Linked DNA regions of Callithrix jacchus. The protein of the gene in region 1 interacts with the protein of each later gene in a biochemical or structural test. Links are inferred from orthologs where the notes say so. Each region holds a gene or a part of one and is shown in the gene's direction. Other genes may lie near its edges.

Region 1 (3,652 bases):
CTGAATCTGGGCCTCAGCTTCCTTACCTGTGAAATGGGAGTGATCATCCCCACAGGGCCTCCTCCCATAGGCACCAGCTATCTTCCGAACTTAAAAGCCAAAACTAGAGGAGAGGGCTCAACCCAAGGTGACTTCCCATCCTCTCTCCCTCCCAACCTTCCAGGCAATGACTATATCGTCCCTCGGCACTGCCCGGAGCTGGCGGAGATGAGCCGGGTGTCCATGCGCATTCTTGACGAGTTGGTGTTGCCCTTCCAGGAGCTGCAGATTGATGACAATGAGTATGCCTACCTCAAAGCCATCATCTTCTTTGACCCAGGTACACTGCACACCTCCTAAGCCATCCCTGACTCTCTCTCCAGAACCCTCTGTCACACTTCTCCTATTGGGTTATGTACACTGAGTTCACAACCTCATTTCCTGTTAATGACAGCCAGGAGGGGCTGTTTTCATTTAACGCATCAGGCAAGGCAAGATTCAAAGGGAGGATATGACCAGGCATGGTGGCTCATGCCTATAATCCAGCACTTTGGGAAGCTGAGGTGGGTGGATCACCTGAGGTCAGGGGCTCAAGACCAGCCTGGCCCTCATCACAGGATGAAGATAAAGCATTCCTACCCTCTCCTGTGGCTCTCAGCTCTCCTCTCCCCATACTGTTGACTGACTTTTGCATCTGCATTTATACAGAATGCCTTTGTCATCAGTCTTTGTGCAAAACCTGCTTTTGTTTCCTACTGTCAAAGGTGCCTGAACCCCGGAGGTTTGCTTGCCTTCCCTGCTTACATGTTAGAGGGGACCTACTGTGTGCCAGGCACTGCCCTTCACACCGCAGATAGATTACCTCTAGTAATAATAGTGATGAAAAGGCCAGGTGTGGTGGCTCACACCTGTAATCCCAGCACTTTGGGAGACTGAAATGGGCAGGTCACCTGAGGTCAGGAGTTCAAGACCAGTCTGGTAAATGTGGTGAAACCCTGTCTCTACTAAAAATACAAAAATTAGCCAGGTGTGGTAGTGGTTGCCTATAATCCCAGCTACTCCAGAGGCTGAGGCAGGAGGATCGCTTGAACCTGGGAGGCGAAGGTCGCAGTGAGCCAAGATCACACCACTGCACTCCAGCCTGGGCCACAAGAGTGAAACTCTGTCTCAAAAAGAAAAAAAGAAAAAAAAAAAAATATATATATATATATAGTGATAAAGAGGAAGATGAGCAGCATGTATTGAATGCTCACTAAAGAGCTGTTTTTAAACACTTTCTGTGGATTATCAACATGATACCTGTGAAGTAGAAATTTTTATCTCCACTTTATAGATAAGGAAACTGAGGCATGGTTAACTTGCCCAAGGTCACATAACCAGAAAATGGCAGAGCTTGAACTTCAGACCACCTATCGATCCCAGTTTCTCTCTCTCTCAAGCCCACGTTCTTACCCACCACATGCTATCCCACACTTCCCAGAAGGTGAGATTTCTAGTTCTGGTTCCTTCCAGAGCCTGGCCCAGCCTGTATCCTCTATAGTGCTCAGCAGGAGGCTGGACTGGCAGAATTGCTCTGCAAAATGGGCATGATCACTGATGCTGAGTCAGAGGCAGCTGCCTCCAGCAATTTGAAGAGGTGGGAACCTAGTTCAAGGCCTGGCATGCAGGAGATGCTCAATAAATGTTTGTGGACTGAATGAAATAATGAACAAACATGATTCAGTGGAGAGAGCCCACTAAAAATGTGGGTGAATGTTCCTTCTGCCACTTCCTTTGTCCATGAAAGAGGAAATAAATGCATTGCCTCAATGAAGCTTGAGATTAAATATTGGATGACCTCTTAAGTTCCCTTCTAGGCTAAGGATCTAGAATTTAGTCACTGATTTTTTTTTTATTCATTCTTCCACCCATCTAAATATATATATTTATATGCATAAATATATATTACATTTATATAAATATATATATATATATATACACACACGCATACACATATTGTCTGTCACCCAAGCTGGAGTGCAGTGGCACCATCTCAGCTCACTGCAACCTCCACCTCCCAGTTTCAAGCAATTCTCCCACCTCAGCCTCCAGAGTAGCTGGGATTACAGGCATGTGTCACCACACCAGGCTAATTTGTGTATTATTAGTAGAGATGGGGTTTCACCATGTTGGCCAGGCTGGTCTCAAATTCCTGGCCTCAAGTAATCTTCCTGCCTTGGCCTCCCAAAGTGCTGGGATTGCAGGCATGAGCCACTGAGTCTGGCCCTATTCGATAAATATTGATTATGCATGGTACTAGGTGGTGGGTTTAAAATGGCAAAGGCGTGGTGGCTCACACCTGTAATCCCAGCACTTTGGGAGGCTAAGGCAGGCAGATTACTTGAGGTCAGGAGTCTGAGGCCAGCATGGCCAACGTGGTGAAACCCCATCTCTACTAAAATACAAAAATTATCTGGGCGTGGTGGCATGTGCCTATAATCCCATCTGCTCAGGAGGCTAAGGCAAGAGAACCACTTGAGCCCAAGCGGGGGTTGCAGTGAGCTGAGATCGCACCACTGTACTCAAGCCTGGGTGACAGAGGGACAAGGGACACTCAGTCTAAAATAAAATAAAACAAAACATAAAATGGCAAATAAGCCATATGCCTGCCCACAGTTGGACGGCACAACAATTACATCCTGTGTGGTCAGCAGTGATGGAGGAGCCACAGAGATTTGGAAACAGGAGGAACACAGGATACAGACATAGGAGGGTAGAATGGAGACTTCCTGGAGGAGGTGAAAACTAACTTGAGTCCCTAAGATGATAGGAAACAGGGATCAGGGAAGGGGAGCCTGTTCTAACACAGTAGAAGCAGCAAATGCTTGAGGTCGGAATAAGGGAACCTCAACTGTGGCCAATAACCCCAAGTTCCCGTCATGGCTCTGCAAACAGCCACTGGCTGTGTGACACAGGACAAGTCCTTTCCTTGCACCGTGACTCAGTTCCCCATGTGTAAGATGAGGAGCTTGCTAGGTACTTGCTGGACACATTCCTCAAGTCTCACCCTCCATCTCCTACTCCCCACCCTTCTGGCTTAGTCCCTTAGGAAATGTGGCAGGAATCTTTTTCTGTCTGTGTCTAGGAAATCACAGTTCATGCTGGCGTACCCTGATTGTTGAGGTCCCTGAATCCTTGTGCCCACCCTGCTGAAGACTCATTGTGTGACACAAGTCAGGGGACATCTGGGTCTTGACTCCCTGCTGCCCTCCCTTGCCCACCCCCTTCCATTGTAGATGCCAAGGGGCTGAGTGATCCAGGGAAGATCAAGAGGCTTCGTTCCCAGGTGCAGGTGAGCTTGGAGGACTACATCAACGACCGCCAGTATGACTCGCGCGGCCGCTTTGGCGAGCTGCTGCTGCTGCTGCCCACCCTGCAGAGCATCACCTGGCAGATGATCGAGCAGATCCAGTTCATCAAGCTCTTCGGCATGGCCAAGATTGACAACCTGCTGCAGGAGATGCTATTGGGAGGTCCGTGCCAGGCCCAGGAGGGGCGGGGTTGCAGCGGGGACTCTCCAGGATACGGGCCTCACACAGACCTGAGCTCACCCCTCAGCTCCTTGGCTTCCCCACTGTGTGGCTTTTGGAGAGTTGCTTAACCTGTCTGTGCCTCAGTTTTCTTGTCAGAAAAA
Region 2 (3,752 bases), on another chromosome or scaffold:
CTATGTGTCCCAGGCTGGTCTGAAACCCCTAGCCTCAAGCTCGTGCTTTGACCTCCCAAAGTGCTGGTTTTACAGATGTGAGGCACCTCACCTAAGCCCAAAGGCTGCCTCTTAAATACCATTTCCATCCTGCTTCTCCCTGCTGAGAGCCCAGCAGTGGCTCCCTGTTGCCTACCAAGACCAGAATCTACTTGGCAGCACTGAAGACTGAGATATAAAGCAATCAAAAAGAGCTTGAGATCTTAAGAAATGACAGACTTCGTTCGGCCTTGCCCTTCACCTACCAGCGACTCATACCTCAGCGCTGCAGACTTTTACCCGCACACCTCTAGACTCTGTTCCTTTCTAAAGATACGGAAGGAAAGAGGGTACCGAACCTCTCTGGTACCAGCCCAGCTGTCTCCCTCACCCCTCTGTCCCTGCCACACCTGTCCTTTTGTCAAACTGGCAGCAGCCTCCAGGGTCTGGAGGCTTCACCCAGGCCCTGCTTGTCTGCCAGCTCCACAAGGTGCGCCCACGGCTTTCTTGTCACCAGTTGAGGAAAGCAGGCATTTTGCCTCTCTCTCCTTTCCTCCTGCTCCTGCGGCTCAGCCAGGTTTCCCGCCTGGCTCAGGGTCGGAATAGGGGTCAACAGAGGTTGCTTTTCAGTGTTGAGCAAGGCAGGGTGGTATGGGAAGGGATGTCATCAGGTGGCAGGCAAGATGGCTCAGGGAGAGCTACCCTGAGCATAGACAGGTGGGGACCAGGAGTATAATGGATATCACCCCTGCACCTCCCCAGGTCTTCCTGCATGAAGCGACTGTGCGCCTGATGGCAGGAGCCAGTCCCACCCGCACCCACCAGCTGCTGGAACACAGTCTGCGGCGGCGCACCACACAGAGCTCGAAGCACGGTGAGTCCACCGCTCTCCAGCTCGCAGGCTGGGGCTGGCCCTGCCCCCGGGAAGAGAGGAGGGTTGGGGCCAGCCCAGCTCCCACATCTAGCAGCTGTGGCCAGCACACCTCTCTGAGAATGAAAGAAGCCTGAGACCGCTCTTAGTGGGTTGCAGGGGTTGGGGTGGTCATGGGTCATGCTGTGATCAGGTAAGGAGGGTTGGGGTGGGGTCTGAGCACAGGTGCAGGCGTAGAAGCAGAGGCTCCAATCAGACCATGTGGCTCCATCTCAGCCCCAGCCCCACCACAGGCTGGCCGTGGAACACTGGACAAGTTCACTTCTTTTCCGTGGACTGGGTGGGGCAACAGACTCCACCTCCCAGGATGAGTGTCAGTGTTGAGTGAATGAGTCCAGGTAACGCTGAGGGACAGCACCGGCTGCATGATGGACTCTCAGTTCTGACACGTATCTCTTTACCATAGGAGAGGTGGATGCCTGGCCCGGCCAGCGAGAGCGGGCCACTGCCATCCTGCTGGCCTGCCGCCACCTTCCCCTCTCCTTTCTATCCTCCCCGGGCCAGCGGGCAGTGCTGCTGGCCGAGGCTGCCCGCACCCTGGAGAAGGTGGGTGACCGGCGCTCCTGCAATGACTGCCAGCAGATGATTGTCAAGCTGGGTGGTGGCACTGCCATTGCCGCCTCCTGACCACCAGGCTCAGCTCGCCCCTCCACCTCTCTCGGTTCCTCTCTCCCCCCACAGCATCCTCCTGCTGAGAGTGGTAGGGAGGAGCCTTGTCTTCCTAGCTGTCATCTGCCGAGGCTTCTGAGCCACCTCAGGCCAGTGGGCCCCTGGACAGAGCCCCTTAAAGCTGCTGTCACTAGATGCCCATGGTCCAGGGTCTGGTGGGCATGAGAGGAAAGGTGGCGGGGTAGAAACTGGTTCTTAAAAGCAGCAGGGGGAGCTCCCAAGCTGCCAAGCCCCCTGCCTTCAGCCTTCCTGACTTTCTCCTGAACCTCACTCTCTCCTTTTTGCTTCCTCAGTTTTTATCAGGCTTTCTCTGGGAGACAGCAGTCTCTCAGCACCAGGGAGCAGCTGCCCTCAGGCCTGTGCCTGGCATGCCCTCCCCGCTTTTTATACGAATGTTTTCTATCAGCGTGCTTGGGTTTGCCATGATGTGAGGCTGAGTTGCCGTAGCATCTTGATTCTCTCCCTGGGTCTGCGTTCCCTCCCCTGTGCCTGACTGAGCCCACTCATTGTCTTTCCCTTTATTACATAGGACAGCCAGGGGAGGAGGGGACCCCAGCCCTGGGAGGCTGGTGGGAGGCAGGGAGCATGCCTGCGGATGGATGAAATTATGTTGGCATTATTTTTTAATTTTTTAAGAAATAAATGGTATCTTATTTAATTGTCCTGTTCCTTCCCACTCTCCACCTCCTAGGATGTCATCCCAAGCTCAGGGTAGGCCCAGGGGCCTGGGAGAAATGAAGCCACCCATTGGGACTGGGAACCAGGGACCTTCAGCATGGTGTCCAGGTTCCCCCCTCCCCGACCCCAACACCTACCTCCACAGTGCAGACTGGCCCCGGCTTTGCAGTGGTTCACTTCAACCATGGTTCAACTTTACAGTTGGTCTGTCGGGGTATTAAATGAATTTTTGAATTATGATATTTTCATTTATGATGGATTTATCAGGAAGTAACCCTATGTAAGTTGAGGCATATCTGTATATTTTTATCCCTAATTCTTTTTTTTCTTAAGACGGAGTCTCACTCTGTTGCCAGGCTGGAGTGCAGTGGCATGATCCCAGCTCACTGCAACCTCCGCCTCCCGGATTCAAGCGATTCTCCTGCCTCAGCTTCCTGAGTGGCTGGGACTACAGGCGCATGCCACCACGCCCAGCTAGTTTTTGTATTTTTAGTAGAGATGGGGTTTCACCATGTTGGCCAGGATGGTCTTGATCTCTCAACCTTGTGATACACCTGTCACAGTTTCCCAAAGTGCTGGGATTACAGGCATGAGCCACTGTGCCTGGCCTTTTTATCACTAATTCTTGAACTGAAAAAAACCAACGTGGCCCAACCCCTCCCCAGTGGCAAGCCCTTCTTTACAGAGTGGGCAGAAGGTTGCCTTTGGTGGGCACTAGGAATGAGGTCCCCTGCCTTGATGCAGGTCCTAGGAGAAAAAGTCCCACTTTTCTGGACTCCCTGTGCCTCATCCTCAAGCTGGTTGGGGCAGAGGGTGGGCAGGAGCCCTAATACAGACTGGGGGCTGCTCACAGTAGGGCCCCTTGATGCAGGCTGGAATGCATCAGCTTGTGTTGTCCCTAGGGTGTGCTTGGACCCCACCTGCTTTCTCTCCTGCCCCTCCCCCACTTACTGTAATTTATGGACCCTTCCCACCCGAGTGTTGTGTATATGTCCTGTGCCTTTTCTCTCTATTGTTTAGGGGTGGGAGGGGGTGATTTTACACTGAAAATGGGGGTACACCTATGGCTTCCTTGATGTTCAGTCACTGTGTCCCAGACCTAGGTTATTCAATAAACACAGATTGGTACCACCCAGCACAAGGTGTGTGAGGGTCTGTAATGTGACTGCTGTGGTGTCCAGCCAAGGGGCTGCATGACTTGGTGGGCAATGGGCCAGGGGCTGTGGGTGGTGCTTTGGGGGTCAGAGGTCGTGCTATCCAGGTTCCAGCTTGTTCTCTGGATATAATGCAACTGGCTGACCTCTCCCCTGCTGAGTAAGCTGCTCCCTGGTTTCCCTTCTGTGAAGGCAGTGACCTTCTGAGCCAGGAGACAAGTCAGACCCAAGTCCAGGTCCTGTGCTTGTCTCCACTTCCACGTGTGCAGAATGGGGATGCTAAGCTCCGCCATGGACTGTAG

What was found.
Region 2: the proteins of HNF4A (region 1) and SREBF2 form a complex in vitro, tested with the Homo sapiens proteins (2 studies listed by BioGRID and IntAct). The link is inferred for Callithrix jacchus from reciprocal best matches to the Homo sapiens genes HNF4A and SREBF2.

Annotation. Positions count from the first base shown.
Region 1 is NC_133506.1:39,770,652-39,774,303, forward strand, and holds part of HNF4A (hepatocyte nuclear factor 4-alpha), read left to right. Parts: intron 1-163; coding exon 164-319; intron 320-3,254; coding exon 3,255-3,491; intron 3,492-3,652. UniProt on the Homo sapiens protein: Transcriptional regulator which controls the expression of hepatic genes during the transition of endodermal cells to hepatic progenitor cells, facilitating the recruitment of RNA pol II to the promoters of target genes. Activates the transcription of CYP2C38.
Region 2 is NC_133502.1:189,861,922-189,865,673, reverse strand, and holds the end of SREBF2 (sterol regulatory element-binding protein 2), read left to right. Parts: intron 1-780; coding exon 781-892; intron 893-1,355; coding exon 1,356-1,576; 3' UTR 1,577-3,434; downstream 3,435-3,752.